Drosophila melanogaster: one gene and its partner. The gene in region 2 interacts genetically with the main gene of each other region. Each region holds a gene or a part of one and is shown on either strand. Other genes may lie near its edges.

Evidence for each region. A genetic interaction does not mean that the proteins touch.
Region 1: of Ppt1 (region 2) and shi, changing one enhances a phenotype caused by changing the other (phenotypic enhancement), as found in Drosophila melanogaster (2 studies listed by BioGRID).

Annotation. Positions count from the first base shown.
Region 1 is NC_004354.4:15,890,204-15,896,988, forward strand, and holds the start of shi (shibire), read left to right. Parts: upstream 1-1,996; 5' UTR 1,997-2,048; exon of another isoform or gene 2,049-2,378; intron 2,379-2,624; 5' UTR 2,625-2,801; coding exon 2,802-2,947; intron 2,948-4,489; coding exon 4,490-4,563; intron 4,564-4,631; coding exon 4,632-5,388; intron 5,389-5,458; coding exon 5,459-5,575; intron 5,576-5,642; coding exon 5,643-5,871; intron 5,872-5,943; coding exon 5,944-6,101; intron 6,102-6,162; coding exon 6,163-6,269; intron 6,270-6,503; coding exon 6,504-6,560; intron 6,561-6,785. Other genes in the region: CG15916 (uncharacterized protein), read left to right, coding at 469-1,284. UniProt on the Drosophila melanogaster protein: Microtubule-associated force-producing protein which is involved in the production of microtubule bundles and which is able to bind and hydrolyze GTP. Implicated in endocytic protein sorting.
Region 2 is NC_004354.4:8,686,383-8,693,681, reverse strand, and holds Ppt1 (Palmitoyl-protein thioesterase 1), read left to right. Parts: upstream 1-3,454; 5' UTR 3,455-3,603; intron 3,604-3,635; exon of another isoform or gene 3,636-3,663; 5' UTR 3,664-3,702; coding exon 3,703-4,247; intron 4,248-4,387; coding exon 4,388-4,537; intron 4,538-4,593; coding exon 4,594-4,720; intron 4,721-4,779; coding exon 4,780-4,902; 3' UTR 4,903-5,055; downstream 5,056-7,299. Other genes in the region: CG11294 (uncharacterized protein), read left to right, coding at 219-425, 936-1,514; Ogg1 (8-oxoguanine DNA glycosylase), read right to left, coding at 1,985-2,071, 2,131-2,617, 2,679-2,996, 3,055-3,194; CAH3 (carbonic anhydrase 3), read right to left, coding at 5,505-5,645, 5,728-5,864, 5,940-6,414. UniProt on the Drosophila melanogaster protein: Cleaves thioester-linked long fatty acyl groups such as palmitate from modified cysteine residues in proteins or peptides.

The sequences.
Region 1 (6,785 bases), 7.2 Mb from region 2:
AAATATATATATCAACGTCGGTTCTCAGTGAACGGAAATTCCAAATTTATATATCGTAACGTTATATTTTCGATTTTTTCCGATGTTATTCCAAATTAATAGAATATATGTTAATATTTTTATAATCTGAAACACGGAAAAGACAACAACTAAAATGCAATTTAAATTATTAAATAAAAATGAGCAAACTTGGTTATTTAAACACTTGCCTGTTATATGGCATGTTACTCTGCAAGCAACTGTCGAAAATCAACTTTTATTCTGTGAATTCTTAGATATGAAGTTAAATGAAGTGCAAATAAGCTATCCCCCAAATTAAAGTGGTCCAGAGTGCTCGAAATTATCGTCCATCTCTAACGCATTTTAAAAACGCAAGTGGCTGGTCTCACTCATGTTATTCCACATTATATTTTGTATTGCATTCTATTTTATCTAAGCTAGCAAATATATTTAAGGCAACTAGACTAAATGTTAAGCATTCGTGTTTTAAGGCTACAAAATGGACACTCCGTTCTTAACAACGCCTGCCAATTGGCACTTTCGCGAAACAAGAGCTCCAAAAGGTCGAGCAAAGACAACGTAACGCGACAGGGAAAAATATTTGGCTCGTTGTTTGGAAATCGGCTTAAAGGCAGCAAAAGCCATTGGTATCCATCGCCCGATGCAGGAACATCAGGCAATCAAAAGTCGCTGCACGCCTTAAAGTTTGGAACCCCACACTCGAAGACAACTTGCAGCCACAACAATCGACGCATGTCTGTTCTGAACAAGTTGTTCATGACGAACATCACTGATATTCTGGCCACCGGCGCAGTTGCCGATTCCATCGTGGGACACGGAGTGCAGATTTCCTATGTCAAGATCACCAGCGACTTCTCCCGCATCAATGTCTATTGGATGGGCAAGGATGGCGGGGAGAACCAAGAGCTCGAGAACACATTGAATCGCATGAGCGGCAAACTGCAGCACGAGCTATCGCAGCTCCATCTGATGGGCGAAGTGCCAAAGATCAAGTTTGTCCGGGACAAAACGAGCACTGGTCTCCATCAGGTCCACGAGGTTCTGTCCAAAATCGATCTTCAGCACAGTTACTCTAGTTCAAATGCGGAAGTTGAAGAAAGCGACGCACAGAGTTGTCAGACGGCTGCGGATGAGGAATGGCCGGAGATGCGACAGGATTTCCTCAGTTTTAACCATAGCTTAGTTATGGACAAGATTCTCGGCAAGATGCGCAAGTCCAAAGATGCCTGGGTTAATCATAGACAAAATATTGCGAAAACCTAACGTTTGTTAAATCCCTCGACTTATGTACATAATGTTAATTATTAAAGTGTTATTCAATCCAATGTAAATTGGGTTCTAAAGTTGAAAATAGGGGTAGGGTCTGTAAACGTTTAATCATTTTCCAATAAGTTTGAAATGTTGGCTACTTTTATCCCAACTAGTTCATCATGTTGAGTGGTTTTAAAATAGAGTATCGATTGCGTTTCTAAAAAAAAGCTTTAACGGCTTAAAATTGAATGTCAAAGGTCAAATCATTACCATACTCGATTATGTTATTATGCTTTTAAAGCTTGCGCACTGCATCTGTATCTGTTATCGATATAAAGCAAAAACGCAGAAAAGCCGGACATGCGCATAAAATGAATAGTTTTATAAGCTTTTAGTATTGGTTATATATTCCCTTCAGGATATGCATATTGTAGATGTGCATTTAATTTAATAAATAGATAGATAATTACTTGTAAGTTAATGTAATCAAATCAGCTGTTTTTGATAGTTGCGATAGTAGGCGACCTTGCGCTTAAATTGATATCGATGTCGGATAAAGCACTGGACTTGTTATCGAAACCAACACTTAGCTTCGGCATACGGAAACTATTCGATATATCGATGTATCGCGAGTGATTCACCCAGCCCTATCAATTATACCAAAAAAAATCAGACCAGACCAGCTTATCGGGTACAGATTGATTACTTTCTTGCATCTCTAGTTTTAGTCGAAAAAATCCATTGAAACGATTTGGAAGCGGAGTGTGGTGATAGTTGTCAGTTTTGCACAATAAGAAGAATATTTGTTTAAAAGACCAAGCCAAAGCCCAAATCGCAGTGCGCTCTTTGTGGCGATAAACATGACATCTACACTAACACAACACAGTTACGCCTGAGAAATAAGTGACAAATTGGAAAAGTCGATGATAAATTCGTTTGGGAGTATATATACAAATTATTTTCGTGTAAATGTCGATAAACACTTTTGCTCGCAAAACCCAACAATCATACCCGTCTTTACCTTCTTCGCGATTCCAATTCCGATTCCAATAAGTTTCGCTACATCGCCATTATAATCCGAAGAAGCAAGAAAGGTTATTGTGGTGGTACATACAATATATCGGGTTGGTTAATCGTGTGGGAGAATGAGTAACTCATGAGTGCTCTCCAATAACGATTTCTGTTTGCAATTTTCCCCATTCCCCCACGATTTACGCATATTTGTTATTAACCACCACCCCCACCGCCGCACACAAATTTTGTCAATTTTTTTTTTGTGTTATCTATACAAACGAAAAGAAAAGTGATGGAACGCATGAAAGTATTTATAATGCAGCAATTGTATTTTGCAGAGGAGTGTGTGCAGTGAAGTAAAGCCAGCGATTAAAGGAAACAGCATAGAAAAAAAAAAGACCCGGGAGCTGAGCAGTAAAAACACAAACATCCGGACGAGTTGGGATCGCAGTTCGATCTGATCTGATCTGATATCTAATCTAATCTAATTGTGAGGGAAATCGGACCTCGCCGCAATGGATAGTTTAATTACAATTGTTAACAAGCTGCAAGATGCGTTCACATCGCTCGGCGTCCACATGCAACTGGATCTGCCGCAGATCGCGGTGGTCGGTGGCCAGTCAGCTGGCAAGAGTTCCGTTTTGGAGAACTTTGTGGGCAAGTGAGTATCCCCCGCACGCCTTATCAGCATATTATCCTCTCATATGGGATCATACTATCATACCATATCACCCTATCAGCACCCCAAATATCTAGCCTACATATATTGTGATTGATAATGGACCTGAAGAGACCCCTCTTTGGCATGCAGCGAATCGATTTTTCTGCACGCCAGTGCTCAGCGAAAAGTAGCGCTATTCTTTCTATTATGTCTGCGTTTCGTGGAATGCCCAATTAAATGTTACTGAAAAACTATGAGTAATCGCTGATAGCACTCGCTTTCAGGCATTATTATTATTTTTTTTTTTTTTGGTTGTTTATTAACAATCAATAATTGGTGTCTACGAAACAAGTGTACTTGCTCATAATGACCAAACCATATCAGTGGTCTTAACTTAATTATGATAATAAGAATTTTATCTTTCACCTGCACAAAGCTGTTGAAAATCCAAAAGCCCCGCAGCTCTGCAAACTATATTCACAAAACGAATTGTAGAACATCTACGTATACGTATTTTGAATTTTGTTAAACAGAAATCTAAATTGTATGTATCAATGCGATTTCTTGTGTGTTTGTATCTATAAGCCTGCGCTGTCTCTCATTTTTCTTTGTTAGTGTCCACTCTAAATACAAACATATAAAGAAAACAATGGCTTACGCCCCAAAAAAATGCAGATAAGGCCAAAATGATAGTGTGTCGGCGATTTAAGTTTTTCCCCACTCTTGCCCAACGATTGAGTAGAGTAACTCACATTCTATATGTTTACTTTCGAATATATTTGTAAAAGTTTGACCTCCTTTAGAGTCGATTTATTTATTTTTCATAGCTTGCAAATAAGGGGGGGGGGGGGTGCGCTGAAAAAGAACATTAATCAATATGCCCATTCATGTATTTACAAACTGCATTGAGCCATGTAAAGTTTGTGCTTACATAAGTCCACTATGTTCAAAATAGTCCAGTTAGATTTCGCATGCGCCGTGCTTTATATGTATGTATGAATGTATGTATGTGTGTCAATTAGGGTGGTTACCCCGCCCCCCGCCCACCTGACACCACTGAGCCATCGGAGGAAGCGAGAGAGGCAGCGAGACCCACGGCCACGGCAGGCCAAAGTCTTAATGTCAATGGAAAATGAAGGCTTCTTCTAACTCTGGTCAGTGCGAACAGGATGTAGGTGACCAGAGTGTTCAAAATGACCCATTTACCATTTGATTTATTAGCCTAGCTAACAAATAGCTTTACTTTAAGTACTCAGTGGTATTAAACAATGCCCAACACTTTTGGAGTCCTGAAGTTCTCACTTGGAAATTTAAACACTAGCTGCAAGTCATAAGTTAAATTTCCATTAAGTTTTTAGTATTGGCAACTCAAATACTCATTATTCGATGCAATTTCAAAATGTTTTGATACTAGGCTTAATGCTTTCTACATACTTCTTAAGCCCAGTAGTAATATTGTTAGATGAACAGGCTCCACAATCCAAAAACCAAAGACTTCTATGATTCCATTATTAAATACAAAACGTTTTCCCCATTTTACAGAGATTTCTTGCCGCGCGGCTCTGGTATCGTAACTCGGAGACCACTAATCTTGCAACTGATCAATGGAGTTACCGGTAAGTTGAGCATTTGATATGATTAAAGAGAAGCTATCTTCTAATGCTAACATTGATATTTATTGCAGAATATGGCGAGTTCCTTCACATTAAAGGCAAGAAGTTTTCCAGCTTCGATGAGATCAGAAAAGAAATCGAAGATGAAACGGATCGTGTGACCGGTAGTAACAAAGGCATTTCAAACATTCCAATTAATTTGCGCGTCTACTCGCCGCACGTACTCAATTTAACCCTGATCGATTTGCCAGGCCTGACAAAGGTGGCCATTGGCGATCAACCGGTGGATATTGAGCAGCAAATTAAGCAGATGATATTCCAATTTATTCGCAAAGAGACTTGTTTAATTTTGGCTGTGACCCCGGCCAATACGGATCTGGCCAATTCGGATGCCCTCAAGCTGGCCAAGGAGGTGGATCCACAGGGTGTGCGAACCATTGGCGTTATAACCAAGCTGGATCTGATGGACGAGGGCACCGATGCACGCGACATTCTGGAGAATAAGCTGCTTCCGCTGCGACGTGGCTATATTGGCGTGGTGAATAGATCCCAAAAGGATATCGAGGGGCGCAAGGATATCCACCAGGCATTGGCCGCCGAACGCAAGTTCTTCTTGAGCCATCCCTCCTATCGGCACATGGCCGACCGTCTCGGCACCCCCTACTTGCAGCGCGTGCTCAACCAACAACTAACCAATCACATCAGGGACACGTTACCTGGCCTGCGGGATAAGTTGCAGAAGCAGATGCTCACTTTGGAGAAGGAGGTGGAGGAGTTTAAGCACTTTCAGCCAGGCGATGCTAGCATCAAAACAAAAGCTATGCTCCAGTAAGTTCAAAAAAAAAAAGGATTTCCGTTTGTAGCTCTTGATTAAACTGGTGTATTTACATTCCTACAGAATGATTCAGCAGCTGCAATCAGACTTTGAGCGAACTATCGAGGGCAGCGGCTCAGCTTTGGTGAACACAAACGAGCTCTCAGGTGGCGCCAAGATCAATCGCATTTTCCATGAACGGTAGGTGTTTGTGGTGTCTTTTTGAAAAGCCCCCTAAAACTGATATGATAACATCTCGTTGCTTCAGTCTGCGCTTTGAGATCGTAAAGATGGCTTGCGATGAAAAGGAACTGCGACGAGAGATCTCATTTGCAATTCGAAATATCCATGGTATTCGCGTTGGCCTCTTCACACCCGACATGGCGTTCGAGGCGATTGTCAAGCGGCAGATAGCGCTGCTCAAGGAGCCGGTTATCAAGTGTGTCGATCTAGTCGTACAGGAACTTTCTGTGGTCGTGCGCATGTGCACAGCTAAAGTAAGTTGGCTTATTTGCTGGCACCAAGCTAAGCACTAAGTTTATATATTTTTTTTTTTTATCTTTGAACAGATGAGTCGATACCCACGTCTGCGTGAGGAGACCGAACGTATTATCACAACACATGTGCGCCAACGCGAGCATAGCTGCAAGGAACAGATCCTGCTGCTTATTGACTTTGAGCTGGCCTATATGAACACCAATCATGAGGACTTCATTGGCTTCGCCAAGTGCGTATTTGATCATTTGGAAAGGGGCGTAGGGAAAAACTAAATCTTGCACTCATTATAGCGCTCAAAACAAATCAGAGAATGCCAACAAAACTGGCACTCGTCAACTGGGCAACCAAGTCATTCGCAAGGGTCACATGGTCATCCAGAACCTTGGAATCATGAAAGGTATGCACGTTCCCCCCACCCCCAATGACATTCTCAATCAACTTGCTATTGATTGAAGGGCAGTAACCTTGTAAATGGTGACAGAATGCTTTGTTAGAAATTTAGTTTTCAACGTTTCCGAAATGAAAGAAGAAGTGCGTTAAGACTGGTCACCGCTTGGTGGCTTGGTGGTGGTCATTTTGAAACTTTTATAATTTGTATTTTTTATGTGAATATTGTCTTTGTCATTGAAAGATATAAAATTAGGACGATCTGGACCGCTAAACGTACGATTTTTCAGTCCTTCTACAGGTACTATCATGTTTTCTGTTGCTTTTGCTTTGCGTTCTTTGGATAATTAATTAGAACACGCCACTCTTTTGCATGTGTTATACTTTCAATCATTCTTGAATCACTCGAATCGAACACGATTGCTGCTGACCTTCCATAGGCGCGTCGAGCATCCTTCTTTATATGAAGGATACGTAGGTACAATATCCAGCTTAGCTAACAAAATTGATGATGATTACTTCTCGA
Region 2 (7,299 bases):
AATAATATACAAATCTAGCAACACAGTATTCAAAACTAAAAAAAAAGTGTTCAGTAACATAGTAACCTAATGTCATTATAGTCGTGACACTACGACAGTTTTATTTTTGTGTGTCATATTAAGCATACGAAAAACTAGAAAATTCACAAAACAAGTCCACTCGTGCAGCTAAAGTGTACAATTAATAAGCATTCGAGTAACCGAAACATTGAACACTAATGGCAGGTCCTTTTATATCACCGCTGCCCGGCGATCTGCTCACGGAGTATATGTTTGGCCGTAGGCGACAGCGCCGGAACCGGACGACCTTCACGCCACAGCAGCTGCAGGAGCTGGAGGCACTCTTCCAGAAGACCCACTATCCCGACGTCTTCCTGCGCGAGGAGGTGGCCCTGAGGATCAGCCTCAGCGAGGCACGCGTCCAGGTGAATTCCCCCTACAGACCAGGCAAAGTATCCACCCAGTTGATCCGCAAACCTGCGAGATCCGATTTAAAATCCTATATAGAATTTGGGTGATTCGTAATGGGTGATTAGGAATTAACTCTTTTGGGGTGTTATTTATAGTTAAGGTACTTCTTCTTACCTTTAATGGCTTAGAAATAATTAGTACACGTTTCTTTATTTCATTTAATTCAATTTCCCATTTCTTGTATAAAAAATATAATTTAATGAATTAAAACAAAACACACTGAGTTGTAAGAGCGCAATGTGCAATATGTACAACAAATATAAGGAAATTGAAGTGATTTTGATTAACTTGGTCAAAAATATAAAAATAAAATTTTAGCTTTACTTGGCCTTTTGGATTATTATCTCATAAAATCTTGCAAATATTTCAAAAATATTAAAAGAATATGAATCTAGATCTTCGTTTTTAGATCCAACAACAAAAGGCCAAATCTATATAGAGTAAATTACCTTTTTTAATTGCAGGTGTGGTTCCAGAATCGCCGGGCCAAGTGGCGCAAGCAGGCACGACTGCAGCTCCTCCAGGACGCCTGGCGGATGCGCTGCCTCAGCCTGGGCACGCCCCCCGTCATGGGCGGTGGAGCGGTGCAGGGCGGATCCGGCAACGGAGCTACGGCTCGACCGCCCAGCCAGACGCCGGAGAACCTCTCTTCCGCGAGCAAGGATTCGGAACTGGCGGAGGTGGGCAATGGACCCAATTCGGGGAGCTTCACCATGATGCACCCGGCATTCCAGCAGCAGCATCAGCAACAACAGCACCAGGGACACCAGCAGGCCACGGATCAGGATAAGCTATCGAAGACCTATACAGAACTAAAGCTCTATAAGGCGCCGTCGCACGGCATGGAACTGGGCGGAATGGCCGCCCTATCCGGACACTCCGACGAGGGTTCCGATGGATCCGATTCCGAGGAGATTGATCTCACCTCCGGCGCCTGTATCGATTTCTCCCAGAGCAGCAAGCTCCAGCAGCAGCAGCAGCAGCAACAACAACAGGGAACTCAGGGGGCGGCGGGATCAGCGGAGGCGAATGGAGGCCTGTAGACGAGGACTTTTATCAAGATACGGACAGATATAAAGATGCGGACACGGATACGAATGCGGATACAGATACTGAAACTTTCACTTGTACAGTGCTCACTCCAATAAAAGATTCGAATAACCACTTCATAAGCATATCCTAAACATCTGTATGCGTATCTAAAAGTGGTTTCCTTAGGTGATGAATTTCTAAAACGGACACAACACATTTTGAATATCCTAAATTTCAAATTCGAGCGCAATCTGTACACATAAATATGGCGATGTATATACAAAACGGACATTTAATGTACACTTTATTTAATCAATTACATCTGTTTAGCAATAAAAAAAAGATATATGAAACCCAGTATCAAGTTCTTTCTCTGTTTAGATATATATTTATATATACATTAGTATATACATTTCTATTATATTTTAATATTCAAATATTACAAGTAGGAATATTTTTTTTTTTAATCCAATAGATAAGATCACTTTTTAGGTTTTTTATTGGATTTTTTCTTACAAGCAACTGTGGAAGTATTTTGAAATTGACTCAAATCGGCAGAAAAGAGAATCTGAAATAATGATATTATAAGAAACACACAGACTAAATTGCAACTTTCAGTGTACTTACAGCTTGAGCCCAACCGGCATACTTTCCGTGTAGCTTTTGAAAATGTTTCGAGACCTCTTCGTAAATCTTCTTGGTTACGTTCTTTTGGCCGGTTAGATGTGGCAGGTAGTAATTTTGGGCAATTCTGTAAATATGAATGTCGACGGGCACTGACTCCAAGTGACCCATTGACATAAGGCAGATGCAATCGGCCACTTTGTATCCGATTCCGGGTAGCAGTGTCAGCTCCTCGCGAGCTTTTTCGAACGGCATGCTCTTTAGGCTTATGAACCAGTTTTGTCCCCCCTTTTTCTGGATCTCTTGCAGCGTTTGTGCTATGAACTTGGCCCGATAACCGAACTTGGCAGCCCTTAGCTGGGCATTAAGATCCTCGCATGGGATGTCGTGGAATCTATTTATCGTGGGAAATGTATACGCATCGGCACCATTGAAGTGACCAATCTTGGTGCCAAATGTAGCGCAAAACCATTCAATCATAGATGATATGCTAAGAAGAAACCAATTTACTGTATTTAATGATGGGATTCGCATTTGATTGAACCACCTACCGCTTGATGTTATTGTTCTGACTGCAAAGGAAGCTAAAAATGTTTTCGAACGGCTCCTGAGAAAGGAGGCGCACAGGCTTACTCAAGAACTTCACAAAGTTATCATCTTTGCTTAACCAATCTTTTTGGTTGACCTTTAGGTCGAAATCAACACGTAGGTAGTCAGATATCAAGGAAGAATAGTCCTTCGTGGCCAAAGGACTGCTGGTTCCGTATGCCTCGTAAGTTATGAAGGATTCTTCTTGCTGGAGCACCCAGTAGGTGTTGAACACCACTCCGCCATATTTCGTTCTATTACCATCGCATATGGATCGCCATCTGGCATGTAAAGTTGTTTTGAGTACATATGTTCATTATTAGTATGGATAGCGCTTACCGGAAACTCTGTCCTCCAAGCAAAGTTCTTTCCAAATCGCATTCTTCGAGGGATAAGCCTATGACACCCCGATCCTGTAAAACAGCCTTCATGTTTGAAAAAAGGCGCTTTTTATGGAAACCTAGGTTATGAGCCAGCATCCGGTTTTATAAACAACTTAAGCCGTGTTTTGGCATACTTAACAATAGTACTTTGTCACGTTTAAATAGTAAACCACATTAAAACTCGAGTTTAAATCGAAAGAAACAAACTCGCTGAATAAAATGTGTTATTGCTATCAGCTGTTTAGCATTTGTTTACCGTTCGGGGTATTCACAACATTCTACTTTTGCTTAGACGCCAGTGTTGGAAAATGTAAATTTTCTGTTCACAGCTGCACAATAAAGTACCAATAAATGCAGCAATGTAGACGAGGGCTTCGAAAAATGCACCTAATTGAACAGTTATATAGTCAAGCCTGTTGCCTTGAAAGGAAAAATAGTTGCAGTATTTTTCATGTTGCGTTAAAGCACGCAGTACGAAATTACCTTTAGGTATAAATAAGACCAGGTACATCCCGTACATGAAATATCCCGATTATATTATCGAACCATATATTATCGATAGCAGACGACTAATTTGATTTGCAAAAATTGCACTCCAACAACAATGATTTCTATCTGCTGTTCTCGTTTTTCATGCATTTTATTTTTGCTGTTCCTGATCTTTTCCCTCGTGCTGAGCTACATATGGTGGAGCCCGACGAAAGGAGGAACCAATCCGGAGGTCCTGCCGGTCGTTCTGTGGCACGGAATGGGCGACACCTGCTGCGTACCCTTCAGCCTGGGTGCCATTATGAACCTGATCGTGGAGCAAACAAAGGGCGGCTATGTGCGATCCCTGCAGATCGGCGGCAATGTTTTGATAGACTGGCAGAGCGGCTTCTTCATACATCCCAACGAACAGGTGGATTACGTTTGCAAGCAACTACTGCAGGATGAGCACCTGGCCAAGGGATACCACGCCATCGGATTCTCGCAAGGCGGCCAGTTTCTGCGTGCGGTTGCCGAACGTTGCCCGAATCCGCCAATGAGGAACCTTATCACACTCGGTGGGCAGCACCAGGGCATCTTCGGACTGCCCATGTGCCCCACCTTAACCGAAAAGCCCTGTGATTATATCACGAGGCTACTGGACAACGCCGCCTACGCACCGTGAGTCTATCTGTTGTTAAGGAATCCTAATATAATATAATTCCTGGAATTTACATGCTTATTAATCCAACACCACCATGTCGCCATCCTTGTCGTTTCCGTGTTAATTCTCTCTTCTCTCTTGCATACCATACACCCAGTGAAGTGCAGAAGGCATTGGTTCAGGCCACCTACTGGCACGACCCGATCATGGAGAACAAATACCGCCTGGGCAGCACATTTCTCGCGGACATTAACAACGAGCTCTTCATCAACAAGTTCTACATTGAGAATCTGCAAAAGCTTAAGAAGTAAGCGCGTATTATACTTATACATTTATCAAATATTATTAACCTCTGCTTTGCAGATTTGTGATGGTGCAGTTCCTAAACGACACAATTGTCCAGCCGAAGGAGTCCCAGTGGTTTCAATACTACACCACTGGGCAGAACAAAGTCATCCAGCCCTTTACTGAGAGCAAAGTCTATCAGGATGTACGTATGCATATCTATCACCTAACGTTCTAATATGAAATGTACATTTTTTCCTAAAGCTGGGACTGGACAAGATGCATCGACAAGGACAACTTGTCTTTCTCGGCGTCGAAGGTGATCACTTGGCCATATCCAAGGCCTGGTTTATCCAGAACATAGTGCCTCTCTTACTCGAAAAATAAGATGGTGCCCAAAAAGCACGTATTGTGACAAAAATGTTTGCATAGGTTTAATCCATTCTTCCTATTAACATAAGCATTTTAATATTAATAATGACTTTTTGATACTTTTATACATGTTTAATTAGATGTTTAATAAATTCAGTTTGGACATACAAAATGTGTTGATTTACTGTTCTTATTTTCCTCTTTTTCTCGCTTTCACTGTTTATCTTAATAACTTAAACGTTAGGATTACGTCTCTTGTAGATGTCTTAAGTAGTTGTGCCCGATATTTCTCTGAAATATTCAATGCAAGGCAACCGCGTGCTCCGACTAAAATTCCATACACGTATCCGTATCGTAAATACTCCGTATATATATATATATATATATATATATATATATGTATGTATGTATATGTATGTTTTGTTAGGTATATAACGCTATGTACATGAGGCAAATAACAAAAGCAGCTTACAGACAACCATAGACAGATAAATGTTTACACATAGCTATAGTTTAGATAGGCGATTGGGCGGAGAAAATTGCGCGAAAGGTTGGAAAAAGGAAAGTCAGCGGGAGCGGGAATTGTAGAATTGTATCCAAGTCATATGGCAAGCACATTATAACTTGGACTTTGGATTGGTGTTGCGCGCAAAGAAGATTTCCGGATCCTTGTGCGGACGCTGGATCTCGCGATAATTGTTGACTATCTTTTTGGACTCATCTTTGGGACACGATTGCAAATTGCGAAACACCTGAACCTGCAAATCAAAAGAGGTTTCTCAAATTTAGTGTTCCAAATGAAAGTATTTGGGGGATCATCTTGGTGAGAAAAACACGCACCTGGCCGCGAGACACATAGATGGGGGTGCGGTATATGATCCAGGTGACACTCTCAAAGTACGGCGCCGTTGTCAGCGAACCCTTGTACGTGTAATAATGTTTGCTCAGCTCCTGCAGACCAATCCATGATAGGCAATCTAAAAAAGCAGAGCCAAGAGTAATAGAGTAAGTCACATTTTTAAAACCATACTCGGTGAAAATTGCACACGCACCGGAATCCAGCGATGCACTCGTATGGATCTTTTGAACGATGCGGATGCCCTCGGTGATCTTCTTGAACTCGGGACAGTCCTTCTCGCCGCAGGCCTGAATAAAGAATGCGACGACGGCCAGGCCATCGGGCTTGTTCTTGGCCTCCGTGAAGTCCTTGTACTTCGAATTGTAGTGGACGGCATGGGCCTCCATTGAGTACTTCATGCCCTCCAGTGTATGCTCGCAGCCGGATTCATCGCAGTCCGACCAATGGAAGTGCAGCTGCTCGAACACGTACATGTCCTGCTCCAGGGCACCGCCGATTATGTATGGCTGTTGTTTTCGCTTGCTGAATGTGACCATTGCGGAGGTGCCTGTGTTCTGTACCCGGGCCACGCCCACCGGCTCCCAATGGCCATGGTACTCTAGTGGATCCACATCGTCAATGTGCTCGATGGCACGGTTGCTGATCTCAATTGGGGATTGTACGGGCATTGCGCTTTCCCAGATTCCTCCTCGAATTAAATTATGCTAAAAAACAAAAGCACATCGACATTAGAATTCGCCAAATATTTCATAATTAAGATGATCAAAGCCAGTGAATTCAAAGCTCATTCATAATAACATAAGAAAAGACGAGCCAACGATCAATGTATAACAACAAGTGATCAATGATCTCAGATCTCAGTGCATTCCGCACATATGCACCTTTTTTCCAGTTTTGATCTCCTAATCCTAGCTCCTAGCACCGATTCCTAGCACCCAAACCGCACTGGCTACTCCACTCCTCCACCGACGACGACTCCCTATGTGATATGCGCTGCGTTCAGGTATTTCTTCTTCCGGAGCTTGTACACACGCCCGCGATCGTCGGCGCTGGCGTCCAAATGCTCGGCTGGTGACAGCAGCGCGGCTCGCGGCGGCGGTGGCGATGTCGACGTCGTGGTGGCGACTGCTCCGCTGGGCGCTCGCGTCTCGGAAAAGTTCTCTATGCCGGCGCCTCCAACGACCGACGCCTGCTCCTCCTTTTCAGATCCACGGATTGGTTAAGCCCGCTTGGAAATGCACCTGCAAGAGGCAGAGAAATCGAGTTAATAATGTTCAGCTACTTTAAGGATATAAACAAACGCGAATTCATGAGCATCTTCCGTTTTGGGTGTAATTTCTATAACCGGATATATCCAGCAATATCAAGTGTGTAAAAGCGGTAATTTCCTGTATCCAGAGCGAAACGAGAGTCTACCATTCACGGCCACGGAATCAATTAAATGTTTAGCGACTCGCGTGCTGTTGATCCGCCCCCTTCGCCATCCCCCTTCACCAACCCCTTAACCAACGAAAATTGATACTCCGCGGCCAATGCATTTACCACCCGCCACC